Ovis aries: one gene and its partners. The protein of the gene in region 2 binds, or shares a complex with, the protein of the main gene of each other region. Links are inferred from orthologs where the notes say so. Each region holds a gene or a part of one and is shown on either strand. Other genes may lie near its edges.

Region 1 (4,111 bases), on a different chromosome or scaffold from region 2:
TATGTAACAAGTTCAAAAGAGATGTGTGCTTTCTTCTGGAATTTCAAACAAAGATGCACTACATTTAAATAGCTTCCACAGCATTATTTCTTGGGGCTTTTGTTTTTGTTGTTGTTTTTGACTATGCAAAATGGTCTTGTATACAAAGATGCATAAATCAGTTTATTGAAACTGAATTTTCCATGGAAACTGTCCAGTGCTCCCCCAATTCACAAGCACTTTATCTGACTGTCTTTCTTCCTCCAGATAATGGCTGGCAGCAACCCACAGTGTGGAGGTTATACGCTGTACTTTTGAAAAAGTCTTGAATGGAGCCATTGTTCCCCTGAGATGGTCTGTGTGTTTCACTGAACAGAGAGCAGGGTGTAAAAAAGGCACCTTGTGTGCAACTGTTGGCGAGGTTGGGGAGTGAATTAAAATCTCCAGAAAGTCTGGGCAGTGCTGTTCAGAGGAGCAATGAACCCTCTGGAAGCACTGTTAGCTCAGACATTCCAATGCGGTGAGGCAGCCTCAGGGACATGGCTCCCTCCAGTCTCATTTAGAGAGGGATGGAGGGGGCGAGCAGAGGACATTGATCTGGACCTGATCTCTTTGCAAAAAATTGGTGAAGGCCTTTCCAGGAATGGGGGGTTATTGATTATCACGCTCAGATAACTTTCCTGACTAACAGACCTAGTCTTTCCTTGGTTACTAATAGTGAAGTGACTCATTTGGAGGATTCATGTTAACTGCTTGTGCATCTATCAGTTTGCAACAATCTAATTCCTGTGCGCCTATTTTTTTTTTTTTTTAAACAGACAAGCCTTTGAGGGCTCTGGGTTGTTAATGATGTTTGATATTACTAATTCATTAAATGCATTATAAAACCGCAATCCAAAACTGTATAGTGAATAAAAAGCCTACCTTGTGTATTGTCAATAATGCTTCCTTTTTCCTGGAGCCTCATTCACCTCCTCAGGACTGTGCAGGCACAGGGATTGGGGGCAGTGACTACTTCCTATTCCTCTAGTGCTAAAATCTGAAACTTTTCATGAACAAAAACTTTCCTCTGTCTTCTGCAGAGGTCTTTCCACAACCAGCTCTCAAGGAAGGAGGTAATGTTGATTTTCATTAAATTCCTAGTGGTGAGAAAACAGCAAAACAGTGTAAGAACCCAGGCTGACATACTTTTCTTAAAGGCAGAATTCTTTGGTGCACCCTCCTGTGCGTTCTTTGGTCCAACCCCTCCTGCGCCTGGAAGCTCAAAGGATGGGAGGCCACTTTTAACAGTGACCTGAAAGAAGGGGTCAAACGAGCAGGAGGAAAATGTGTGGGAGGAGTAGAGGTTCGGAGTGGGAGAAACACCATGTCGGGTTCCTACAGTCACGGGGAGTTAGTCTGGAAGGCAGTCGGGAGCCGATGGAGATTTCTGCACAGGGTAAGTTGCAGAAGAGGAAGGACCACACGGCTGCGGTGTGAGGGAGTACGAGGAGCGGACAGACGGGAGGGGTGGGGGCCCCCGGGAACTGGGCTTGACTGAATGTAGGAGGAGGAATCATACCTATGGAACGGGTTGGTCCATTAAAATAGGTGAAGAGGGAGAGGGATTGGGCGGAGGCGGGTGGGGGGTGGGGGGTGTGATAATTCGATTTTTCTCCAGGTCTCTGGCTCTCTTGACTGTTAGTTGGGTATAAAAACCACCTCAACGGCCAGGGGTGCAGAGGCTGCAGTTTCTGGCAGCGCTGACCACCTCCTGCAGGATTTGGAGTCCATAGACCTGGATGTCACTATTTGGATGGTCACTAAACTCTGCGGCCTGGCACAGCACTGGGCACACTGTGGGGCTCAATAATAAATCGTTGTTGGATGAATGACGGAACACATTGGAGACTCCGTGCTGCCCTTACCAGAGTAACCTTGGTCAAGTAATTTAACCTTCAGGAGCCTCAGTTTCCGTGTGTGTCGAGCAGGGACGGTGCCTGGCGGAAGGTGTGACTGTAAATGCTCGCGGCCTGAGTTGGACCGAGTTTCGGCTCTCCGGCCAGAGCCGGGAGACCTCGCCGCACTCTCTCCAGCTCCCACTGCGGCCCGGACGCCGGGCGGCCCTGGGAGGCCGGGCAGGGGTCGCCGGGCCGACATCCAGGGCCAGGGTGGCGGCCGGGTCCGCCCCTCGCGCCTGCCTTCTCCGCGCGGCCGGCGGCCCGGGGGCGGGCCCGTCTCAGGCCTCTCCCCCCGGCCGCCCGGCGGCCCGCGGCGGCGCTCGCGGCCTCTCACCCGGGGCGGGCGAGTTCTGGGAAAGCCCGGCCCAGGGCGGGGGCCCCGCTGCCGCCCGCGCCGCCGTCAGGGCAGCGCGCAGAGCTCGGCGGGCGCGGAGCGAGGTAGCGGCGCCGGGCGGGGGCGCACCGCGCGGCGCGGGGCCGGACGGGCGGCGGGGGCGGCAGACCCCCGAGCGCGAGCGGCGGCGGCGCGCCCCGGCTGTGCCTCCCGGGCTGCGCCTCCCGGGCACTTGCCCGGCTCTGCGCGCTCCTGGCATCCGCTCCGCCGCTGACACACAGTAGCGGGGACACCCGACGCCGTTAGCGACAGGCACGTTCCAGAAGAACGCTGCAACTTGGGGACCCCGGCGCGCCCGGCCAGCAGAGGAAAGGTGAGGAGGAGACCCTGGAGCTCGGTTCCCGAGGCGTGGAGAAGGGGAGAGAGGGGCTTGTAATCCCTGAACCAGTCAGTAAAGCCGCCGAGGGCACCCAGCCTCACCCAGTTGTACCTGGCGTGAGAGTGTCCCTCTTCCGCCCCATTTCCAGGGGAAAACTGAGGCAGGCGACTCCCGAGGGGACGAGAGCCAGCCTCACATGGGCTGGAGGACACCCCGGTAGGGCTTCCTTCGCCCCTTCAGATGTTTGCCTTGGGTCTCCACTGCATTTTGTGTGTGCAGCACAAAGGTGAAAAATATAAACTCTTTCTGAGGCGGTCCCTAGCGACAGTATTTCAAGGAAAAGTGCTCAAGAGATTGTTCCTGGAGAGATTAGCTACATCAAGTCCTAGAAAATACAATTTTGGACCTGGATCTCACTTTCACTGGCCACTAGGAGAATGGCTACGTCTTTTTTGTTCAAGTCCTCTAGTGCTGTGATAATGAATAACCTAGAAGCAAAAGTCCTCCATTGTAACTGATGTTAAATGCACAGTGCAAATTTATGTCCCGGCCCCCCCCCCCCCCGCCCCCGCCCCCCTTGCCTTATATTTAAGTCATGAGACACTTGGTACAACTGACTCAACTAATTATTCAATGTACGAGAGATCCATCATCCATCATTCAAAGATTTAGCAGCATCATTTTAAAGAGGGAGCACCCTCAATAGATATTAAGGAGGAGTCACTTGTGGAAAAGTTTTATTTCCACATGGTTCTTAATTTGGGTTGCATCATGCAAAATTTGCCACTAGGTCATTTAGATCCCTGCAAGATTAGTGCATTTCCTTGTGTTTCTGGTAAGAACTCCTGGTAGGGATAGGGTGGGGTCCCTGTCAGAATGGGCACAGCCAAGGCCTGGGGTGCTGTAACCCGCCAGGAAGAATTTTTGAGAGCCTGTTTTGGGAGGTGGATTTAGGTGACCCGGTAGATGCACTTACAGGGCCCAGTTGGCCCTGGGGGAGAAGGGGTGGTTGACTATCTCTGGATGCTGTATCCAGCCATATCTTCACAGATGCTTTCTGAAGAATACCTGGGGTGCTGTCGTCTAAAACACCCTTTGCTCTTCCTGGGTGCCCTTTCTGCTCCATTTCATCTCTCTAAATCCTAACCAGTTTTGTTGCTGCCGGAAGACCTTCCCTCATACCCCAGTCCCAGATAGTCAACTTTCTCAGGCTCTGATGCCTGCAGCATTTTACCTTCCTGGCTTTTCTCCTCTCAGCATTCTTTGAGAAGTTTTTATGTAGATGTTTCATTTCCCTACTGAAGGACTTCACTGTGGCTTTCTTGGCACAGTGCTTGCACCTAGAAGCCTCTCTGGAAATTGTGCTATGGCTTTGGTTCTTCAATACAAGTCTCTGTTTTGGAGAAGAGGATTCAGAGAAGAGCACAGTGTTTACCATTCGAATTGTCCTCCACTTACAATCCCACAGGGGAAATTTTC
Region 2 (3,976 bases):
CGTCCCGGGAGGCCCGTGGGCACTCTGTCCACCGGCCTGGGGGGCCGGGCTCTGGCGGCACCCCCCTCCTTCCCTGCTGTGCCGCCTCCTGCGTGGCACCCAGCGCTCCACGCCCCCGCTGCCGTCAGGAGAGCAGGCACCTGCAGCTCAGGCAGCCGGGGCCCCCCTCGTCCGGTGGGCTCAGCTTGCGCATCTTGTGCTGCCGGATCTCGCGCACCAGAGTGTAGAAGGCGTCCTCCACGCCCTAGGAGAAGGGCCCGGGTCAGGGCAGGACCACCGCCTCAGCCGCGGGCAGGGCCCCAGCCCTCTCCCCACCCCGCAGACAGGGAGCCGGGTCCTGCCTGCCTCGGGCCCCAGGCCCGCCTCGTCGGGAGGCCTGTCCTCAGCTGCCAGCCCACTGAGTCTTTGGGGCACCCTGGGACCCGCGGGGCACTCTGGGGGTAGGGGGGCTGGGGCCCCAGGGTCACCGCTCCGGTCTGGCTCAGGGCAGCTCTCTCCGGGCACCCCCACCTCCCCCAGGAGCTGTTTCAGCCCAGACCCGGGCCCTGGCCTCCCTCGCTGCCCTGCCATCCGGGGAGACTTACAGCGAGAGGGGCGGCTGGGTCACGGGGGTCCCGGAGGGTCCCAGAGGGTCCCGGAGCTGCAGCCAGAGCCAGAGCGGCTGCCCTGCGTCGAGGGAGAGGGGGCAGTGAGCCCTGTCCCGGGTGGGCGGGGCGGGGCCCTGGCTGGCTGCGGGGCAGGGGCCGGGCTCACCTGGCGGGTCTTGGCGGAGGTCTCGATGTACGGAATGCCGTAGCTGCGGGCGAGGTCCTGGGCCTGCCGAGACTCCACGGTGCGCGCGGCCAGGTCGCACTTGTTCCCGACCAACACCATGGGCACGTCGTCCGAGTCCTTCACCCTCTTGATCTGCTCCCTGCAAGGAGGAAAGGCTGAGCTGGCAGGCAGCCCGCAGGCTTGGGTGCACTCAGGGCACAGAGAGGGCCAGGGGCCCCTGAGGGCCGGCAGGCAGCTCACCGGTACTGATGGATGTCCTCGAAGGACTTGGTGTGGTTGATGGCAAACACGCAGAGGAAGCCCTCCCCGGTGCGCATGTACTGGTCCCGCATGGCGCTGTACTCCTCCTGGCCCGCCGTGTCCAGGATGTCCAGCAGGCACGTCTCCCCATCGATGACCACTTGCTTCCGGTAGGAGTCCTAGGGACGACACTGTTCAGAGACAGCCGGCCCTCCCGGGGGGAGACCTCCCTCGCTCCTCTCTTGCCCCGCCCCGGGGGCCTGTGACACGGGGACCCTTTCTTAGAGGAGGTGCGAGTCAGGCCCACGTCAGAAGCTGAGCAGCGGACAGGAGCCAGGTGGACTCACCTCGATGGTGGGGTCGTACTCGTCCACGAAGTGGTTCTGAATGAGCTGGATGGTCAGGGCGCTCTTCCCCACGCCGCCGGCGCCCACCACCACGAGCTTATACTCCGTCATCGCTCCTCAGGAGACCGAGGCACGAGGCGCTGCAGTGGTTTGCGGTCCCACCTGCCGAGGGAGCCACACTCAGCATGGCCGGACCGTGCAGGGCGGGCGCAGGGAGCTCCCTGGACCAGCCTGGCCAGCTCCGGCCTGCCCCCTGGGCCTATCCACCCAGATGACAGGGGCAGCAGCCACACAGGTGGTCCAGCCCTCACCTGTGGCACCTGCAGCCCAGAGATGGGAGGGGGTCTTGCCTCCAGCTGCCCCTAATGACTGTACCAGAAAAGCAAGGAGCAAGGAGCAGGCCCCTCAGAGGCAAGGCTGGGAGCAGGGAGCGTCTCCCAAGCACGTACCCGAATTAGAACCTGCTGGGTAGGCAAAAAGCCTAAACTAGAGGTGCGTTGGGCTGAGGTTACCAGCACCCCCACGAGAACAGGTCTTGCCACAGTGGCGGGCACAGCAGCGTGCCCAGACAGGCTGGTGGCAACCGACAATCTGCTCCAGCCCTCCCCCCAGGGCATGCTGGTGCATCTGAGAAGTATTCAGTAAGCACCTACTGCATGCCAGGCGCTGCTGCAGGCGCACGGGGACAGAAGAACCCCTGCCCTGGCAGGTGTGGGCGACACTCCAAGGGGAAAGTCCGCATGAGCCCACGGGTCCCACTGCCAGAACTCTGGAGAATATAAAGCAGCTGTGGAGGTGGACAGGGGGCCGAGGCTCCAGGAAGCAGATCACAGGAAAAGACCCAAAAGAGGTGTGGGCGCAAGGGGACAGGTGAGAACGGGACAGGGCCTGGGCCCTAGGCTCCCAGCTGGGATGTCAGCGGTTTGTGATGCTTAAAGAAGAGGCGCCCTTGCGGGGACCGCAAGCAGTGACTTTCTAAACCCCCGGTTCGCCGGGCGTGTGATGGCCGCCGGATGCCCGAGCTCTCCGGAGGGGCCCGTGCGGCTCCCGCGGGTGGAAGACCCGGCCTAGCGCCTCTGCTCGCGGACACCCAGGTCACTTGCGGAGCCCGTAAGGCCGGGCCCGGGACACGGAGCCAGAGGTGCTGGCCGGGGCGCGGCGGCGCGAACCCGCCGCCTCCCGCAGCCCCCGCCGCAGCGCCCCGCCCGCCGCCGCCCGCGGCTCACCTGCGCCCCCGCGCGCCGAGCGCAGACAGCAGGCCCCCCGCCCGGCCCACCGCTCCCGCCGCACTCACCGCTCACAGGCGCGACTGCCCCCGGGGCCGGGGCCGGGGCGGGGGCGGGGGCGGCGGCAGGGGGCCGGGGCCGGGGCGCAGGGCTCGCCCGGCGCATGGGCTCCGTCCGCGGCGGGTGCGGCTCCGGCGGCGGGCGGCGCACACTGGACCCGGCCGCGCGCGCCCCGCCCCACGCCCGTCCGTCAGCCCTGCGCGGCCTGCGATTGGCCGAGCGCGCCGGGCCCCGCCTCGCCCCGCCCCGGTTGGCCGAGAGGCCCGCCCGTCAGAGCCCCGGCCGGGCGGGGCTTCCGGGAGCCTCGCCGAGGGCGGTGCCCGCTCTGGCGGCCGGCGCGGGCCGCGGCCTGCGGGGCTGGCTGCGCGGAGCGTCGGGCCCCGGGGGGCGGCGTCCCCGAGGGAGGCCCGGGCTCTCCCTGGGGCAGGCGGGCCTCGCGGGGAGATAGAGACCCCGTGGCTAAGCGAGTCCGCGGCCGGGTGTGGCCTGGGGCGGGGCGCTGCTCCCGGAGCCCCGCGCCGGACCCCGGGCACCCCCGCCGGGCACCGCTGCGCCTACCCCGCCCCCGGCCCGGGTCCACGCCGCCCCTCGCAGGGCCCGGAAAGGAGGCGACGGCCCGAGGGCTAAGCCTCAGGGAGGCAGGAGCCCGCATCTTCAACCCCGCGGATGCCCCGGACCTGAGGCCGGAGAAGGGCGGAGGGGCTGTCCAGACGAGGGTCAGGCGCAGGTGGCTCCGGGAGGGGCGCCTGGCAGCTTCTGCGGGGTCCTGGGAGCGGCTCGGCCTCGCGGGCGCCTCGCCTGGGCGGGGAAGTCTGAGCCCGCGGAACGGCGAGTCCGGCTCGGTGTTTCCAGCCAGTGCCCAGGGTCTTGCTTCTCGCTTACGTAGCGCGCAGCTCCGCCGAGCATCACCGCTAGCCTCCCAAAACATGGGCAGCCCCTGCAGACTACCTCCCCATCGAGCTTCCCCGAAGCCCCAGGTCCCAGCCCTGCGGAATCTTAGCTAACAACCCATACCCAGCAAATTCACCCCCGAAGTTGCTATGGAGGGCTAAACTCAAGTCTACCGCCTCCCAGGCGAAGTGTGCACATTGTATCTCCTTTAAAGACGCTCAGAAATGCATGTTTTTAACATTAAAAAAAATTTCACAGTAACGCATAAAAACATCCTCCGTATTTACAGGAAAGAACGGTGCGTCTCACGTGAGCCCAGACCTTTGCCCCTCCGGCACTAGCTGGCAACCCCACCCTCCGCGCCTCTCGGCCCCCTCCCGCTCCGGCTCCGCGCAGTTCCCGGGAGCTCATCCCGCTGCCGGCCTCGACCCCGGCGGG
Region 3 (4,109 bases), on a different chromosome or scaffold from region 2:
GATTCTGTAGGCTCTTTGACTCAAAATTTTGTGCCTCTATGTAGTACTACAGATTTCTCACAGGCTGGGGATTAGCAAACCCTGGGCGTCGGCAGTGGTTGGTGCCACGGGGTGTGTGTGTGTGTGTGTGTGTGTGTGTGTGTGTGTTGGGGGTCACACAGATATGGAGCAGGGGGGTTGCCAGTGTCTTTAGAAGGCAGTGTTTGCCTTTCCCTGGCAGAGGTTGTGAAGGTTAAGAAAACCTGGTTAACAGAAGCCAGGGACAGATGTTACCTAATTTGGTCAAAGAACAAAGAGTGTATAAAACATTTGGAAACCCGGAACAGTGCACTGGGATGGGGCACTTATTGGAAGAGCAGAAACAGATTTACCACTCAGAATTCAGAGTAGGGCGACTGCATCTCAGGTGAGCATAATGTAATTACCACTTCAAGCAGTCTGGATTTGGGGCATGGAATCTTTTGGGTTGGAAGCTTCACTGCACTACTTCACTAGCCCTGTCTTGTACCAGGTACTCCATGACTTGGAGCCTCAATTCCCTTATCTGTAAAACGGGGTAAACGTCTAATTTATGAGGCCGTTGTGAGGTAGAACGCGACTAGGCAGAGTAGGGGCTCATTCGATGGGAGCTGCTCTTATCAGAAGAAAATGAATAATTTTCCTAATTCCTAAGAGGTCAGGTTTACTCATACCTTACTCAGAATTCTCAAACATCTCCGTAGTTTTCGGCACCGATTGTACTGCCTGTTCCCCGTCCACCCCTTCTCCCTCGCCGGTGTCCTCAGCTGCAGAGTGGAAGCAAGAGGCACGTGGGGGAAAGACTGGGACAAACCTGGTCCCCCGCTCTCCTGGCACGGTGGGCCTGTCATGGCGGCCCAGCGACAGCTCTCCAATAGCAGAGCAAGAAGAATGAAAGGTCTAGGGGGTCAGGGCTGCCCAGACCCCTGCCCCGCCTGCGCTCTGCCAGGCTAGCCCCGAGGGAGCGCCCGATCACATGGATCCCGCCTCCCGCGACGCGGATCCGCCCCGACCCCGGGCTCAGCCTCGCGCTCCGGCGCCCACCTGGGGAGCCCGGGGCCCGAGCCTCGAGGGCCGGCAGTCAGGGGCGCGGGCCCCCAGCCAGCGCCCCCCAGCGCCACGGACCGCGAGCGGGGCCCGCCCGGCGCCCTCCCCGCCCCCTCCGCGCCTCGCCCCGCCGCCCGCGGCCCCCACCCACCCGCCGCTCCTCCCCTCTCCCCACCCTCCTCCTCCGCCCCCTCCCCTCCCCCGCCGCCTCGCCTACCGCTCGGCCGAGCGTCTGAGCCGCCCTGGTCCAGAGCGCAGGCGGCGAGGCCACCGCACCTGCAGCGCGCTCGGGCTGCCGAACCGGCACCTCGCCTCCCGCCGCCGGATCTCCTTCTACCCCCACGCCGGGTCTCCCATGACGCCCGAGTCCCCCGGCCGGCGACAATGACCACTTCCCTGCAAGATGGGCAGAGCGCCGCGGGTCGGGCGGCTGCCCGGGACTCGCCGCTGGCCGCCCAGGTGTGCGGCGCTGCCCAGGGGAGGGGCGACGCCCGCGACCTGGCGCCGGGCCCCTGGCTGCACGCGCGGGCACTCCTGCCCCCTCCGGACGCGACCCGCGGCTGTGCGGCAGACAGGTAGGCAGCCCTCGGAGGGCGCGGGGGAGTGTCCTGGGTTGGCAGCCGGCGAGGGGTGAGGAGGCGGTCCTAGGGGGTGAGCCATGTGCCCAGATCTGGGCCAAGTTTGAGAAAGTCTCAGAAGACAATTCCCTTTGAGCTGGCAGAACCTACCGGATGGGCAGGACATTGCGATCTCCCAGCGCCTTATAAATAGCATCACCGATTCATTGAGAGCTCCGGGTCGCTCTCGCCTCTGACCATCGATGTGAACTAGGAGGCCAGGCTCCAGGCTGACCACCCTCCTTCCTTCTTTACTGCGTTAAAAAACAAAATAATCCCTTTTATATATTATAAAAAAATCAGAATAAATCAGTTCGCCTCCCACATGGAGTCTTAGAGCGACCCTGGAGAGGCAAAGTACGGATTGACATTTGAGCAGTCTAGCTGTTCAGCAGGAAAGAATAGAGGCTTTAAAGTGTTTCCCAATCTCCATAGCATTCAGCCCTAAGTGCCTGTAGAATTCACAATTTCACACATACTTTAGGAAAGAAAAAGGCTGCAACAATACAAAAATCAATAGTCCTTTATATTCATACATTTAAATGATGTCTTTTTTTTTTTTTTTCTTCAGATTTTCAAAGTGCTTCAACTTCACTGAAGTTAAAATTACTCTGCAGTGGACCAAAGTACATTAATACTAGCAAGTTCTATTCATTTACCTCCTCAAAAACACTGCCTTGCAGTTTAGTATCTATAAGCACTTGAAAAATCAGCAGACTGTGTGTGGGCCACATTGTGAATGAAATTTGAAGTGAGATGAACCACAGCTATAATTAATAAACCATAACTTTCAAAAGTGATTAGTAGAATAGAATAGGGATGAGTTCACTAAATGTTTATAGACTGTCAATTTAGTGGATGCAAAACAATGTCTAACTCCTCAGGATGATTTTTACTTCAATAATTCTCTAGTCTGTATGTCAGTTTCAGGAAAATTATCAGAAGTGCTGGAAATGGGGCTTCCAGGCCTGGTGATTTTCTTTTTAAAGGCCAAAAGAAAAGAAAGGAAGAAAGGAATGCAAAAGGAGATTGATTTATATCAATTGACATGTTTTATTCTGACCCACAGAAAGTACACCACAGACTTTTCCTGTATACTTTACATTAGTATTGTCACAGAGTGGGGCATTCTGGCCTTAACTTTTTAATCCTGACAGCAATTATATTTTACATTCTGTTTTATGTAAATTACATCCTATGTTCTCTCCGTGTAGGAGAAAAAAGAAAGATCTTGATGTTCTGGAAATGCCATCTATTCCAAATCCTTTTCCTGAGCTATGCTGCTCTCCATTTACATCTGTGTTGTCAGCAGGCCTGTTTCCCAAAGCAAATTCAAGGAAAAAACAGGTATGCATTTTAAAATGTTCTAATTAAACAATCTTAGAAGTTCTATATCCATATAATCTTTAAGATAGTAACTTACAATATTAGCAAAAGGTTAGCATGGCCTATTTTAAATAGCTCTATTAACTGACATAGTTCTTTGCCATTAGTTCCCTTTAGGGTCTCACTTTTCACATCTGTATAGTGGGTACATTAAAACATACCCATCAGGCTTTTGGAATGGATTAAATGAAAGAATATATGTGAAGTACAGAGCCTAGGAGCTATTATTATTCACATTGTAACTGGAGAGTTATATATGATAACAACTGATCAATTTTAACTCAGAAACTGGAAGAGCTGGTAGTGATTTAGAGGGAGAAGGGAATTGACCGGTTCTTTTAATACCTTCTTTAATCTTTCATATTTTCAACCCAAGCCAAACTTATTTACTAAAGGAAATTGATTATGGTGAATCTGTGGTGAAAGGTAAATGGAGTTTTGGACTCCACAGGTTTTCTTTCATTTCAGCGAATTCCTCAGTTTGGAAGTTTCTGACTGCAGAAGACAGATGACTTGTAAGTGATGTTTAGCTTATGGACTTAATTTTTATGATTTTCTTTCAAGTTTCTAGTATGGAGCTGACTTGAGCAAATTAAACTTCAAGAACCAAGCAGCTGTGGGGAGATGCATCACAATTATAAAAAAAAAAAAGTGTTTCCTAGGTTAATCCCATCTCTTCTGAATATACTTCATTCTAGTCTTGAATCAGCAAACAAAGAGAAGCTTCACTATGTACCTTGTTCTTGCAAGGGTTGTTGTTCATAGTCGCTAAGTCGTGTCCAACTGTGACCCCATGTACTACAAACAGCACACTAGGCTACTCTGTCTTTTACTATTTCCCAGAATTTGCTCAAACCCATGACCACTGGGGGCTTCCCTAGTAGCTCAGTTGGTAAAGAATCCACCTGCAATGCAAGAGACCCCAGTTCAGTTCCTGGGTTGGGAAGATCCCCTGGAGAAGGGAACGGCCAGCCACTCCAGTATTCTGGCCTGGAGAATTCCACAGACTGTATAGTTCATGGGGTCGCAAAAACTCGGACA
Region 4 (3,500 bases), on a different chromosome or scaffold from region 2:
CTCCATTTTATAAATGAAAGAAAACAGGCTCAGTGAGGTTAAAGCTACTTTGACCAAGTTCACGTGGCTAACAAGTGATAGGGCCAGGATCTGAACCCAGTTCTACCTCTAAGCCCTTAGGTTCCTAACTACTGTCCTGTAATATCTTCCTTGTTGAGTATTCCCATTTAACTGAGGAGGTACCGTTTTGTTCCCAGAATAAACATCATTACAGTTTTAACAGGATTCAGGAAGCAGTTCTTATAATTAGGTTTCTAAAATAAGAAATTAATCTGGTAGCAGACAAGTTTGATTAATAAGTTTTATTTTAAAAGCACAATACTATCTTGAATCAGAAGGAAGGAAAATGTATGTATTGAACAAAATAAGTTTGATGGTACATTTTTGTAAAATTCCTGGTAACTCAGAAAGCATGTCTGTGCCCTTTTAGACATTTCACAACTATGACAGGAGAGGGGAATATAAACTGAAGAAATACAGTTTCATACTTTAGCACGTCATTTGAGGAAAATACAGCTTGTTCCCCCATGACCTTATAAAGTAATGAGAAGACTACATGGGAATGAAGGGAGAAAGAAAGGGAAATTTATTGTTTTAACAGTAGTTATGTGCTTTGAGTGGGCTGACTAAGGAGTTACTGTTATTTGTTTTGTAAAAGAGCAAGCCATCTTCTCTGATACCATGGAGAGCTCATTGACTAGAGCAGTAGCCCCTAGTGCTTATAAGGATTTCCTTTCAGCTTAGACTTAATCCTTTTAAGCTCCTAGCTACAGGGATAAATGTTGATTTTCAAGGTAGCATTTTTACCACATTGAATTTGTTTGAAAAATGATTCAGTCATTCTCTGCCTTATTCTTAAATGTTGCTGTGTGCATCATGTTTCTAGGTAGTTGAGCCCGTGAAACAATATGAAGAGGAGAAAATAGCCTTTTAAGGAAATTGGCCCACAGAAAGGATGGCCTTCTTGGACAATCCAACTATCATTCTAGCTCATATTCGACAGTCACATGTGACCAGTGATGACACAGGAATGTGTGAGATGGTTCTCATTGATCATGATGTTGACCTAGAGAAGATTCATCCTCCTTCAATGCCTGGAGACAGTGGGTCAGAAATTCAGGGAAGCAATGGTGAGACTCAGGGCTATGTGTACGCCCAGTCGGTCGATATTACCTCAAGTTGGGACTTTGGTATTAGAAGACGCTCAAATACAGGTAAACATTGCCTTTTAGTCCTGTCTTCTGAGCTTTAAATCAGTAAACAGTCTTATAGAATAATGCGTAATGTTGGAATAAGTTTAATGGGAAAAGTTACTCTGTATTGATAGGAACATGAGTGTATTACACTAACAGTCTAAGGCATCTCTCCATCTCTTCGACTGAGTGCTGAGAGTCTCTGGAATGACGCTGTTAGAGGAAGCAGACAGAGGAGGAGTAGGTGAAAAAGTTGACTATGAGAGAAATGTTCGAGATTCTGTTCTAAAAAGTCACCATGTAGACAGGGAAGTGGACTGTCTTGAGGATCTTTACCAGAGCTACACTATTACCAGTAGGCAGGGTTCAGGTTACGTGATAAAGAGAGCTGGCCAGACAAGGATTGCGCTGTCTGAGACAGTTCTCGCCCTTGGAGGAATCGTACTGGGTGGCGGATTGGAGGGAGACAGCCGGCTGTTAAGGCCGCATTTAGTTGGAAGTCCTACTTGGGAGTTGAGATGAGAAAAGGTGCCCCCGTTTTTGATACATTATTTAGTTGATCTCTCTACCCTTTGGTATTCGTGGCCTGAAAATGCTCAGTTTTAGCATAGGTATATTTAGTCATTAGCTTTTAAAAATTCATTCCCCTTTTCCAGCTTATGGTTTTGGGGAGCATTTCAAGGGGTATGTGATGAAGTCCTTTACGTAGATCAACTATTTAGACTATACAGTGTAGTTGTTTTAATATGATGGTATTCTATGAGATAATTTTTTTATTTAGATAATCAGAAAATATAATCTCCTAATAAGTGGCAGTAACCTGCTAACTCCCAGGGAAAGTAATGTGGGATATATAGTAGAACCCTGAAAATATTTGCATGTTAATTTTCATAGTCCATATCTAAAATGGATGGAAAGGAGTACTGCTGGTAGAACAGGATACAGTTTACACTAAAAAGCATGTTAAGGTTTTGGTTCAGAATTCAGCGTTCTGCGACATCTGTCAATACAAAGAATAATTTGCTCTTGTGATGAAAATAATTAATAGCATTTCCCAGTATCCAAAGGAACTTTAAGCAAAATAGGATTCGAGTGAAGGTTTGAATATAATTTCGAACCATTGGTTCGCAGTTCTCTAGTTGAAACTGACTTCCTTGCAAGTTATTGAGATATCTTTTATGACAGGCTGAATGGATTTAGTAGGAGCATGCTGCTAAATTGAGAGCTTTATGATTATAATACTTTGGCTGTACCCTTCAAATTTATTAATTGCAGTCGAATGTATTTTGCTGCTGTGGAGTTGGGTTCGATCGAGTGACACTGTCAGAATGTTTTTGCCAGCATAGTTTAATTTTTGCAAGATCTGTTTCAGTGTTTCACTGCCACAATGCTAAGGCAGGAATGTAAGATTTCCTACCTTGAAAGTGGTTGAAAGAAAACTTTATTTTATTTATTTATTTTTATTAGCATTGGGCCAGGATAGGAAGTTGAAGATTAGCAAGAGGAACCTAATATGAAGAGGTGGCATAAGCTGTGACTTTCTTTTCCATTGTAGTCTCCACGTGCTGGACAGCATTGTTTGCTGTACGGTATTTCTTCAAAAGATCCAGTTAACTGACTTTTGAAGGTTGAGCAGCCAATCGTAGTATAATCACAAATGCATAATTTTAGGTGATGCTTTTGTTTTTGTTGTTGGAATTTCTTAAGCTAGCACTTAGATGCTAATAATTAATTAAGATTGTGGGGTATTCGATGACCAAGGAATTTACTTTTTAATCCTTTCAGCATATCTTAAAATTTTGTATAAGAAAAATTATTCTTTTTAAGATTTGACTAATGTTACAAAGATACAAATCATTTATTTTACTACCTATAAACTGTTTCAGCCCACTGAAGAAAAGCTATGCTAATTTATATAGCTTTGACATTTTATAATTTTCATGATTTTTAGATAAAGGATTTTATATTTAAAACTTTAATAGTCTAGTCTGAGTTCATTTATCTTTAATTTTTGAAACGGGTAGAGTAATTCATAACAGTAATTTTATTCCTGTAATGTAATATTCACTTCAGTTCATTTGTGCATTAAAATTCCTTTAAGACCGTTATTAATGATTTATATAATGAAATGTCATATTAATCACAGAAGTTTTCACATTTTATTATTCTCTTCCATGTTAATACTATCTTTATGATCTCTATTAATGTTTTATATCCTCTAATTTCAATTATAAATCAAGAATATTTTCATGTTTTTGTTGGTATTTGCTTTTCAGGGGTGCCACCTTTAAAATTTTATGACTTTTT
Region 5 (3,980 bases), on a different chromosome or scaffold from region 2:
TTATGTACTATTTGAGCCAATTTACTGAACACTTACTACGTATGAGTTACTGTGCTGAATACATTCAGGGATTTCTCATTAACCTTAAAAAGTATCATATGAGGGCGATAGCATTATTACCCCATTTTACAGATGGGGAACCTGACCTTTGCAAGATCATACAGCTAGTAAGTAGCAGAGTCAGGATTCCAACCCAAATCTTGTCTAACTTCAGATTTTGCACCTTAACCCCTACACTGTATTGCCTCCAGTAAGTCTGGGTTGATATCTAAGATAAAGAAGAGAGGGAAATTTGTACTTCTCGTTGGCAACTTTTAAAAACTATAGTGAAATGGAGGATACTTTTTAGAACATGAACAATTCTCATATACAGAGTTACACAAATAATATTTTTATTCCCAAACACAAATGATGAAAATCTTACAATGGATTTCTCACAAGAATAATTTTTCTTAGGTTCTCATTTATATTTATTAAAAATTTAATTGGAACACTGTGTTTTCTGTTCACTTCTACGGTGAACCTAAAACTGCTCTAACAAATAAATTCTATTTTTAAAAAAATTTAGAACTGCAACACACTAAATATGCCTTATTCAATTTAGTTAAGAACTAACATAAGACTATATTCTTTCATTATGAAAAGCTGAACTTTATCATAACCACAGGGCCCTTAATACTTAAGTAGTTTTGAAAAAGGCTTGAAGATGTGTAAACAGAGCTGTAAATTTTGAATTTTTAATACTTTCAGAACACCTTCAGAGAAGTCTGCAATATGTAGATAAGAAATGATAAGCAGAAATTAAATTAGACAAAAAATTGAACTCATGATGAACAATATAAAAAGAATAAAACTCCCCTGTCCCATGGCTGACATAAGATTAACTTTACTTTTCCATCAAAAGATGTATGTAGCCTTAAGTCAAAAATGCCCTAATTTGTTAAGTCCTTTCTAAATTTTCTAAAGAAGCTTATCCAAAAAAAGAAAAGAAAAAAAAAAAACAGACACAAAAAACACCTTCAACTGTCTAGAGTGATGGTCAACACAGGAATCAAATCTTTCTTCCTCTGATACCTCACCAAGGTTGTCAAAATTCTAAAGGACAATTAAGACAGATATGAGGGATCTATAAAACAAGTTTTGCCTACTGCCCATCAACATGTTCCTCTCAAGATCCAAACCTAAGTTCACTTATGAAGAGAACAAGGGAGAAAGTACTATATATATATGTAAGTCATTTGTCCTGTATATTCTGCAGAAGACTGTCAAAATTAATTTTCAAATAGAATACTGTATTTGCCACCAACAAAAGGTGAAGGGAAGCACAATATTAATTCTAGTTCAATACTGTACTTACAAAGTTTCAACTTACAGAAGAATTATACTAGCATATTAGTAAACGGGAATTCTACTGCACATGTTAAATACTGTGGGAGTACAGGCCCTTAACCACACCAGTAATTAACAGAACTTTCCTTTCTCGCTGACCCACGTTCTCAAAAGCAATCCAAAGTCTTTTCTGCATCGCAGTGCTTTCAACAGCCAGAAGCCGGGAATTGCAGGGCAACAAAAACAAAGCAATCCGACCAAGGCACGTTTCAAACAATACTACCACGATATTCACTCAAATATTCAAAGCTTCTCACTAATTGTCTAGCTTCAACAGGGAATGCAACCAGGTTAATACAGACTACGACTGCCTCGGTAGCTGCAAACTCAGCTGAATCCCAGGACGCCACCTCAATCTGCAAGGGACAGAACCATATCCGGTTCTCCCTGGATACACATTTTCCCATGCTTCCCATCTTGAAAACTTTACATCTTCCCAGAGGAGCAATAAATATACCAAGACGCCAGGGAGTGTGCCTGTAGGGAGGATGAGTGATCAAATTAAATCCGTACGCACGGAACCTTGAGCTTCAGAACTTTTTCTGAACGAGTCACAGCTGAAAACACGAGTCACAGCTGAAAGCACTACGAGTCACAGCTGAAAAGAACTAGACCTGTTTTTCCTATTTCTTTCCAAGGAGTCAGCTTCCCCCAAAACGCCGGTCTTGACTTACTGGTTAGTCGGAGGAGCGGTCAGCGGGATGGCCACCTCTTCCTCCTCGTATTCTGGTCCATCCAGAGAGTCACCTTCGTCCACTGTTCCCAGGCCAGCGCCCAAAGGGGGCAACTGAGGAGGAGGCGGCGGCAGAGGAGGGAATCCGCCGCCGGCCCCGAAGGTCTCAGTGGGCAACGAAGTGGTCCCTTTGGCTTCAGCCATCTCCCCGCCGGGTCCGGCGGCGGCGGCGGCGGCGGCGGCGGCGACACCAGCCACGCCGGCGGCAGCGCCTCCGGCTGACAGTCCGGCTCCCCCCGGGGCCCCCGCCACAGACCCAGGTCCCAGGAAGCCTGACCCCAGAGCGGCTCCGCCACCCAGAGTCGCGGCCACGCCGGCCTCCGCCAGCCCAGGAAAGGGGGCGGCGGCGGCCACGGGCAGGGCCGCGGGGATCTTCACCCGACACACCGCCGGGTAGGCACCCGAGGCCGCGGCCGCGCCGCCTCCCGCTGCCCCGGCGGTGACCGGGCCGCCCTCCTCACCGCCGGCCTCGGCCGCCATCATGTTGAAGCCCGCTTTACGCGGCCCTACCCTGCCCGCCCGGGAGCCCCCAGGGGCCACCAGGCCCGGGCTCCGAGCCGCCCCACCCAGGCGCGTCCCCTCTTCAGCTCCCCGGGCGGAGGAAACAACAACAAAAGGAGAGAGCCCGCTGCCGCCGCGCCCCCTCTCCGGGCCACAGCCCAGGTTCGGGAGCTCCCCGGGTTACGGGAAGAGAAGTGGGCAAAAAACCCCAACGCCTGCACAAACGCCGCCCAAACCTTCACCTTCCACACCCACACTCGCGCGCGCGCGCACACTCACACACACACACACATGCACAGAAGCGAAAAACTTCCTGGCTGCACTAAAGAGGAAGGGAAGCGAGGCGGGGGGGAAAGCGGCTTGAGGCGGCTGCTGCTCCCTCAGCCGCCGCCGCCGCCACCGCTTCTTCACCACCCCAGTTCCGGCCACCCCCACCGCAACCACCGCCGGTGCCGCTGCAGGGGCTGGGGCCACTGCGGCCGCCTCATCCTCCACCGGGCTGAGGCGGGAGGGGTGGGGAGAAAAAGAGGAAGGGGGGCGGGGTAGCGGGGAAATCAACCTAAAGGCTCCCAACCTGGAGCGCTAAGTGACATCGACGAGAGAAAGGAAGGCGGGGCGCGGGAGGAGGGGCGGAGGGAAGGAAGGGCGGGGAAGGAGGGGCGAGAGGGCAGCTTCTGCGCAGGCGCACTCCCCGCGCGGAGGCGGTGGGTTGGGGTGGGGGTGTGGCGTGCTGGGTCTGGAGGAGGGAAAGGAAGACTCTGGAGGGAAGGAAGCGGCGGGGACGCGCGGTGTGCGGCAGCGCTCGCTGTCCCGAGCCGAGGGGAGCGCGTGGAGGCGCGGCCAAGCTAGCAGTCCCGAGCCAGTGGGGAAGCGCGTGGCGGCGCGGCCGCCTCGCCGGTCGGTGTGGCCGGTGGCGCGCGCCTGCCTGACTGGGCTTTGTCTGAGAGACGGGTTAGGCGGCGGAGGGGAGGAGTGGGTCCCCGGCACGCGGCCGCTCAGCGGGGTAAAAACCTGTGAGCGACGAGGAGGGTTTCTTGAAGAGGGAGGGAAAGAGAAGGGGAGATGAGGCAAAGCCAGTTCCTCGCTTCCCGACCGGTAGAGCGGACGCCGTGGCCGGCGGCGCAGAAACCCGACGGCCGAGGCCCGCGGGGGTGGCAGTTGGAGGGGTACCTGCCTGGAGGTCCGAGAGAGTCCTGTTAGTGTTTCCGTTCTCTTTTCATTATATAAATGACTATATGACTATTTCAAGCTAAAAAAAATAAAATGAAAATTTTTTTAATAGATTCTAAGACTCATGCGAAGAGTTCACTCATTGGAAAAGACCCTGATGCTGGGAGGGATTGGGGGCAAGAGGAGA
Region 6 (3,500 bases), on a different chromosome or scaffold from region 2:
CTCTAGAAATGGCCCTAAGAGTAAATAGCAAGTAAAGAAACATCTATTCAGGAAATTTACAATTCAGTAAGAGAGGCAAGAGTCTGCTTCCTTAGAGAAACTTGCAGAGGCGGGGGATGGGGGGACACAATTAGCCCAAAACACAGGGCTCCCATCTCCTTTGACATCTAAAATGTCAAGACTCACATCTTGACAGAGATGAAACAGCAGGGAGAAAAAACAGGGAATGGTAAATTGCCTGTAAGACAGATCTGATAGGTCAGATTTAACAACAACAACAAAAAAGATTTTAAAGCAGTCATTCTGAATTTATTAACAGAACTAAAGGGAAGTATGATTTAAAAAGCAAAGTGGCGAGGGGGGGTGGTGCTGATGACAGTGTGTATCAACAGGAGTGTCCTAAAAAACACAGGGATTGTAGAAGAAACCAAACAGAAACCGTGGATTTGAAAAATATGATAATTAAAATAAAAATTTTACTAGAGGGACTCAATAGTCAGTTTGAACTGGCAGAAGAAATACACAGTTAAACTTATAGAGGTATTGTTCTTCAAAAACGAAGACTAAGTAAACATTTTCCCATATACACAAAAACTAAGAGAACTGGTGCTAACAGACCCACCATATAAGAAGTGCTGACTTAAGTTCTTCAAGCTAAAAGCAAGTAACCTCAGATAGCAGTGTGAATCCACACAAAGAACACTGGTAATTATTTAATTATAAAAAACTCTGTAAATGCCTATTTTTCCCTCATTGGTTTTTTAAACTGATTTTAAAGAGCAACTGGATAAAATAATATGTATGTAATGTATTGTTGGGTCTATAACACATAGAAATGTAACGTATGTGAAATACATTGCCAAAAAGAGAGCAAAGCTGGGAAGGGCTAAGAAAATAATACCAAGTGGTAGTAAAAGCAACAATTATAACCATGCACTGCTAGATCTGCATCGTTAATTATAGGTAACGCGTGTTCCAATACCACAAAGGGACGCAGCGAATAGAGCTGCTGCTGAGTCGCGTCAGTCGTGTCCGACTCCATGTGACCCCATAGACGGTAGCCCACCAGGCTCCCCCGTCCCGGGGGTTCTCCAGGCAAGAACACTGGAGTGTGTTGCCATTTCCTTCTCCAATGCGTGAAAGTGAAAAGTGAAAGTGAAGTCGCTCAGTCGTGTCCAACTGTTCGCAACCCCATGGACTGCAGCCTACTAGGCTGTCCATGGGATTTTCCAGGCAAGAGGACTGGAGTGGGGTGCCATTGCCTTCTCCAAGTGAATAGAACTATAGAGGAGTAACTTTTTTATATGTCACTGGAATTCGGGTATAATCTGAAACTAATTCTGTTATGATGAATGTGGCAAACCTAAAAGGCAATCATTAACAACAACAACAACAAAAACACTTAAAATGCTGTTTTAGAAAAATATTCACTAACTGTCGAAGAAAGGCAGAACAGAGGAACAGCAACAAACACATGAGACACGGAAACAGAACTGCAGTGAGATTTATAACATAACTGACTGTTGCGAAATTAAGACGACCGGTAAGACTTACTTCTCAAACCACAGAGTGAGATTAGTGGTATGCCGGATCATTTTCAGGAGATTAGGAGAATTAATTTCTTTGTCTTCTTTTGTCCACACACTTCCAACTAATTCTGACGGCTGTACAGCTCTAAAATCATCAAGACATAATTCTATGTGATACTTTTCCCTCTAGTATACTGTTTTATCAAGTAAGTGAGATAAAAGGTTTATGAAAACAAGGTAAAACAAAAGCATTATAATATTGCATTTTTTCTATTGATTTTAAAAAATTTTGTATGCGTGTACCTGTGTACTCTTTTTTATTACTTTAGAGCAGTATTTTGCTTTGGGCATGGGTGGAATTTCTTCACAGTGTCTTTCCCAGCACTTATAAATATTATCTAACAAATGAGGGTAAGAAAGTAGTTTGGGATAACTCTTTTAAATAATGATATAATAATTGAGGGTATAGTAATAACTGCAATTCATAAATCTCACCCCTCACCCCTTCAAGGAAGGGGAAAAACTCTCTTAGGAAGAGTCTTGGAAAAGAAAAACAAAAGGTTCTAACACTGATTTTGGGAACAGTGATGATCTTTGATGGGAAAGCTATACATTTAGTTTCCTTTTCCATTTAGTTATTTAAAAAATAAACAGCTTGAAATCTAAAAAGTCTAAATTTAAAACTAGAAACAGGCATGTTTTTTGAGATTAGCAGCTCTATCAATGTATAAAAACTAAAAAAGGTTAAATGGCCATGACTGAAGTTCATAATGACAATGGTGCTATCTAACTCACCGCGCCCTTACTCTGTGTGGGGCAGTGTATTTATAGCGAAATGCTATAAATATACGGACTATTCTAAACCTTGCACAACAGCTCTAGGAGTAGGTGCCATCATTAACTCCGTTTCCTCTTGAGGAAACTAAGCAGCAGAGGAGTAAGTCACACAAGAAGATTAAAGTTGCCCGAGGATACGACAACACATGAATTTAGTAGATTCACTGACTGGGGCGACTGCATAGAGAGAGAAGTTATAAGCCCAGATAGGGCAAAGGTGATCAAGGAGTAAAAGAAGAGGCGTCTTCTATACAGAAGGCCTTATTACAAGACACTTGGTGTACTGTCTCATTATGTCTTATAATAATCTTACAAGCCAGAAATCAGATTTCATTTTTAAAGTTAACTCATTTGAAAGGATTTTTCAGCTTGAACATCAAATTACATACCGATATAGATCTGATTCAAGTAAAGTGAGTTGTCGAGCAATTTCTATTGGGTGTAAGGTAAGCAGGTCAAAAGTCTCGATGTGCCCAGGTCTGCTTATGTGCCACTCAACCGTAGGAGGTGAACTCTGAAATGTAATATTATGACCTGGCCCATTGTCTCTTGCAATTTTTTTCCTTTGGATTATTTTAGTGATGGATTCAACCCATTTTTTCATTGCTTTACCTGAAATAACATTATATGAAAAGTAACGTTTAAATATTTTACTCAATATTTTATTGAAAAAAAAAATAGTTTAAAATCATATAAATGATACCTGAATATCTTTGTTATAAAAAGTTCATACAACCAAAATTTAAAAATGAAGTTCCCCTTTACCATTTCCCTGTTTCCTATCCCAGTCTCATTTTTCTTCATTTGGCTAACCATTTGTTAATAGTTTGGTATATATTCTTCCACATCCTTTATAAATAAAATGAGAAAGTAATTTATTTGCAGAAAATTTTCACTTCTATTGTTCTAAACTTTAGTGCAAAATATTATTTTATAATCCTCTCCAAAAACACTACCTTACACAAATAAGATTTATAATGATAGACCATACAACATTAGCCGTTAACCTAACAAACTGCATTTTATAAACCAAACAGTGCCATAGGACTGACTCCTTCCTTTTGTGTGTTTTTCATGCGGCTTTGTTTTGTACTAGGCATGAAAGTAGTATTATTTAATCCTTTATTTTTCGAT
Region 7 (2,187 bases), on a different chromosome or scaffold from region 2:
GGGTAGATTATTATCTGCAAACTGAATCAGGCTCCCAAGTCTCTAGGCCCCGGATGATTCAAACTCTGTACAATTTCCAAAACCAGTTGGATTTGGAAATCTATCCTCCAGTCTGTGGAATGGACAGATCTCTCACTTCCAAACCAAGACCGGTTCGCAAACCTTGGATTGCTTTCCAAATTCACTGTTTCGTTCACTGAATAGACACTGAGCACCTCCAGGGCGCTAGGCACAGTTACAGGCTCTGGGTGGGGGTGGAAGGGGACAGGCAGAAACAGAACAGACACAACCCCTGCCCATAGAATGTATGTTTTATTAACTCCAGATTTTGTCCGATTCTCATATCATAGGTGACTCTCCAAACTTGAGACAAATCTCCGAATTCCTTTAGTCTTCCAGACCCCACAGAGGCCTCTAGCCTTGGGCACTTCCAAAACCTGGATGGTTTCCTGCAGACAGTCCCTGTCCCTACCCCAATCACAGCCCTCCCTCTCCTAGCCTAGGTAACCTGTTCTGCTCTCTCTTCCCAGCTTTGGGGTGTCACCAAGCAAGGCTACCGCTGTCGGGGTGAGTGGAGCTTCAGTAGAGAAAGGGGATCTAGGACCTGCAGGCTGGGAGAATGGCGGACGTGGACTGGGCCTCTGGCACTAACCTCTGAATTTCCCCCAGACTGTGGGCTGTGTTGCCACAGACACTGCAGAGACCAAGTGAAGGTGGAATGTAAGAAGAGGCCAGGGGCCAAGGGCGATGCGAGTCCCCCGGAAGCCCCTGCCCCACCCACTCCAGTTCCCCAGGCCAGCTGTGGTAAGACCCAGGGTGTGGCAGTGCTGGGAAGGGGTCCTGGTGGACAGATGGGGATTCATTCCGAGGTCATGAGGCCTTTCCCATCATACCTACGTCCCTCCCACCTGCACCCCTACACACAGGCTCCGAGGACAATCTCTCCTACACACTATCCCTGGAACCTGAGACTGGGTGCCACGTTCGCCATGCTTGGACCCAGACAGAGTCCCCACACCCCTCCTGGGAACCAGAGACGGTGAGGAGGAACTGCCCCCTACCCCCAACTGGATACGGGGAGACCAGCCTAGTTGCCTGGGGGAACCCAGACAGACTTGGGGAAGAACAGGAAAAGTGAAACGATGCAAAAGCCCTCAACTGCTTGGGTGGGAGGGTGTAGATATGGGTTAATTTTTAATGTTGACAGCAATTTCAGTATATTGGTGGGGAGGGGAAGGGGTAACCCCTAGTACAAAAGAAAAAGTGAGTTTAGGAAGAAAAACAGAAAGAAAACTATAAGATGTCAAGATTAAGGCCAAACAGATCAGATATTAATAAATATTGGAGTAAATTCCACTCGTAAAAAGAGCAACGTCTCAGAATGAGCTAAAGAAACTTCACTTTGACATGTCGGGGAGGCTCTCCCCGCAGTGAACCTGAACATCATACACTCCCCACGTCACCCCATGTCATCCTCCTTCCAGGTCCCTCTGCCAGTGAAGGCCTCACCACCCACCAAGTCCTCCAAGCTGAACTCCTAGATGTTGCCTTGGTCTCATCTCTTCCCCACTTCCTCCTCCAGAGTCAGTCTCAAGTCCTGTTATTCCGTCTCCTTCCCATCCACACTGCCTTTGTTGAAGCTTCTGTCATCTCTTACTCCAAAAGAAAGTTATTTTCTTCTTTTGCATCAGAGTGGCTGTTAATTGTATTCCCTTTTCTTGCATGTGATATCCGTGCAACCCACTCCAGTATTCTTGCCTGGAGAATTCCATGGACAGAAGAGATTGGCAGGTTATAGTCCATGGGGTCGCAAAGAGTTGGACACGATTGAGTGACTAAACAACATCATCATCTTGCCAAGTCCTTAAATTCCCATTTTACAGATGAGGAAACAGGCTCAGTGAGGTCAAACTGCTCACCAAAGGGAGCAGAACTCGTGAGTGTTAAGAGTCAGGACTCCTACCCAGTTTGTCTGCCTCTCACATGGAAGCTACTGACCAATATACTGCACTGATGTCAGTATGGGTCAGGAGCCAGAGGGGACAGGGGGTAGAGTTCCAAACTCTGAGGTGGGAGAGAAGGTCAGAGAAGGGGTGGAACAGGAAGGGAACCTCTGAAACCTAAGTCAGATCAAACCCCTCCTCTGCTCAGAGCCCTCCTATGGCTCCATCTCACTCAGTGAAACCA

Evidence for each region.
Region 1: the proteins of HRAS (region 2) and PLCE1 are in contact, whole or in part, in a crystal structure (PDB 2C5L), measured with the Homo sapiens proteins. The link is inferred for Ovis aries from reciprocal best matches to the Homo sapiens genes HRAS and PLCE1. Residues at the interface, in NP_001123914.1 of Homo sapiens: Ile24, Gln25, His27, Val29, Glu31, Asp33, Ile36, Glu37, Asp38, Ser39, Tyr40, Arg41, Glu63, Tyr64; in NP_057425.3 of Homo sapiens: Phe2138, Pro2146, Glu2147, Gln2148, Pro2149, Arg2150, Thr2151, Val2152, Ile2153, Lys2154, Lys2171, Tyr2174, Ser2175.
Region 3: the proteins of HRAS (region 2) and GRB14 are in contact, whole or in part, in a crystal structure (PDB 4K81), measured with the Homo sapiens proteins. The link is inferred for Ovis aries from reciprocal best matches to the Homo sapiens genes HRAS and GRB14. Residues at the interface, in NP_001123914.1 of Homo sapiens: Glu31, Asp33, Pro34, Ile36, Glu37, Asp38, Ser39, Tyr40, Arg41, Tyr64, Met67; in NP_004481.2 of Homo sapiens: Val109, Lys111, Asp116, Glu117, Thr118, Ser119, Arg120, Ala121, Leu122, Asp123, Lys140, His142.
Region 4: the proteins of HRAS (region 2) and MAPKAP1 are in contact, whole or in part, in a crystal structure (PDB 7VV8), measured with the Homo sapiens proteins. The link is inferred for Ovis aries from reciprocal best matches to the Homo sapiens genes HRAS and MAPKAP1. Residues at the interface, in NP_001123914.1 of Homo sapiens: Gln25, Asp33, Ile36, Glu37, Asp38, Ser39, Tyr40, Arg41, Leu56, Glu63, Tyr64, Met67; in NP_001006618.1 of Homo sapiens: Glu277, Ser278, Phe280, Ala286, His287, Gly288, Phe289, Ser290, Leu291, Ile292, Gln293, Arg311, Arg312, Lys313.
Region 5: the proteins of HRAS (region 2) and RASA1 are in contact, whole or in part, in a crystal structure (PDB 8BOS), measured with the Homo sapiens proteins. The link is inferred for Ovis aries from reciprocal best matches to the Homo sapiens genes HRAS and RASA1. Residues at the interface, in NP_001123914.1 of Homo sapiens: Gly12, Gly13, Ser17, Ile21, Gln25, Asp30, Glu31, Tyr32, Asp33, Pro34, Thr35, Ile36, Glu37, Asp38, Ser39, Tyr40, Arg41, Gln61, Glu62, Glu63, Tyr64, Ala66, Met67, Lys88, Lys117; in NP_002881.1 of Homo sapiens: Gly746, Arg749, Glu783, Thr785, Thr786, Arg789, Ala790, Thr791, Glu799, Lys803, Ser833, Arg894, Gly898, Phe901, Leu902, Arg903, Cys906, Pro907, Leu910, Asn911, Met914, Arg928, Ile931, Ala934, Lys935, Gln938, Asn939, Asn942, Val944, Ala948.
Region 6: the proteins of HRAS (region 2) and SOS1 are in contact, whole or in part, in a crystal structure (PDB 4NYM), measured with the Homo sapiens proteins. The link is inferred for Ovis aries from reciprocal best matches to the Homo sapiens genes HRAS and SOS1. Residues at the interface, in NP_001123914.1 of Homo sapiens: Gly13, Gly15, Ser17, Ala18, Thr20, Ile21, Gln25, Asp30, Glu31, Tyr32, Asp33, Pro34, Thr35, Glu37, Tyr40, Arg41, Asp54, Ile55, Leu56, Asp57, Thr58, Ala59, Gly60, Gln61, Glu63, Tyr64, Ser65, Ala66, Met67, Arg68; in NP_005624.2 of Homo sapiens: Glu589, Lys602, Trp809, Thr810, Lys814, Leu822, Met824, Ile825, Arg826, Thr828, Thr829, Thr832, Glu836, Asn869, Leu872, Val875, Ser876, Asn879, Ser880, Ser881, Tyr884, Ser908, Asp910, His911, Tyr912, Lys913, Leu916, Phe929, Phe930, Gly931.
Region 7: the proteins of HRAS (region 2) and RASGRP4 are in contact, whole or in part, in a crystal structure (PDB 6AXG), measured with the Homo sapiens proteins. The link is inferred for Ovis aries from reciprocal best matches to the Homo sapiens genes HRAS and RASGRP4. Residues at the interface, in NP_001123914.1 of Homo sapiens: Glu3, Gly12, Gly13, Gly15, Ser17, Ala18, Ile21, Asp33, Pro34, Thr35, Ile36, Glu37, Tyr40, Arg41, Asp54, Leu56, Asp57, Ala59, Gly60, Gln61, Glu63, Tyr64, Ser65, Ala66, Met67, Arg68, Asp69, Gln70, Arg73, Thr74; in NP_733749.1 of Homo sapiens: Tyr228, Gly232, Val234, Val244, Asn248, Ser251, Asn288, Met291, Ala292, Gly295, Gly296, Cys298, His299, Ser300, Leu327, Ala328, Ser329, His330, Asn331, Asn332, Tyr333, Ala334, Arg337, Leu351, Gly352, Val353, Leu355, Lys356, Val359, Ser360.

The regions. Positions count from the first base shown.
Region 1 is NC_056075.1:15,047,541-15,051,651, forward strand, and holds the start of PLCE1 (1-phosphatidylinositol 4,5-bisphosphate phosphodiesterase epsilon-1), read left to right. Parts: upstream 1-1,311; 5' UTR 1,312-1,417; intron 1,418-2,333; exon of another isoform or gene 2,334-2,626; intron 2,627-4,111. UniProt on the Homo sapiens protein: The production of the second messenger molecules diacylglycerol (DAG) and inositol 1,4,5-trisphosphate (IP3) is mediated by activated phosphatidylinositol-specific phospholipase C enzymes.
Region 2 is NC_056074.1:47,140,318-47,144,293, reverse strand, and holds the start of HRAS (GTPase HRas), read right to left. Parts: upstream 2,801-3,976; 5' UTR 2,588-2,800; intron 1,524-2,587; 5' UTR 1,473-1,523; coding exon 1,362-1,472; intron 1,194-1,361; coding exon 1,015-1,193; intron 914-1,014; coding exon 754-913; intron 667-753; coding exon of another isoform or gene 604-666; exon of another isoform or gene 585-603; intron 245-584; coding exon 125-244; 3' UTR 1-124. UniProt on the Homo sapiens protein: Involved in the activation of Ras protein signal transduction. Ras proteins bind GDP/GTP and possess intrinsic GTPase activity.
Region 3 is NC_056055.1:144,978,769-144,982,877, forward strand, and holds the start of GRB14 (growth factor receptor-bound protein 14), read left to right. Parts: upstream 1-1,309; 5' UTR 1,310-1,449; coding exon 1,450-1,640; intron 1,641-2,896; coding exon 2,897-3,029; intron 3,030-4,109. UniProt on the Homo sapiens protein: Adapter protein which modulates coupling of cell surface receptor kinases with specific signaling pathways. Binds to, and suppresses signals from, the activated insulin receptor (INSR). Potent inhibitor of insulin-stimulated MAPK3 phosphorylation.
Region 4 is NC_056056.1:10,416,937-10,420,436, forward strand, and holds part of MAPKAP1 (target of rapamycin complex 2 subunit MAPKAP1), read left to right. Parts: intron 1-886; 5' UTR 887-955; coding exon 956-1,214; intron 1,215-3,500. UniProt on the Homo sapiens protein: Component of the mechanistic target of rapamycin complex 2 (mTORC2), which transduces signals from growth factors to pathways involved in proliferation, cytoskeletal organization, lipogenesis and anabolic output.
Region 5 is NC_056058.1:84,552,121-84,556,100, reverse strand, and holds the start of RASA1 (ras GTPase-activating protein 1), read right to left. Parts: upstream 2,801-3,980; 5' UTR 2,606-2,800; coding exon 2,064-2,605; intron 1-2,063. UniProt on the Homo sapiens protein: Inhibitory regulator of the Ras-cyclic AMP pathway. Stimulates the GTPase of normal but not oncogenic Ras p21; this stimulation may be further increased in the presence of NCK1.
Region 6 is NC_056056.1:85,175,659-85,179,158, reverse strand, and holds part of SOS1 (son of sevenless homolog 1), read right to left. Parts: intron 2,979-3,500; coding exon 2,756-2,978; intron 1,675-2,755; coding exon 1,555-1,674; intron 1-1,554.
Region 7 is NC_056067.1:47,592,609-47,594,795, reverse strand, and holds the end of RASGRP4 (RAS guanyl-releasing protein 4), read left to right. Parts: intron 1-530; coding exon 531-567; intron 568-669; coding exon 670-804; intron 805-926; coding exon 927-1,039; intron 1,040-1,484; coding exon 1,485-1,541; 3' UTR 1,542-1,687; downstream 1,688-2,187.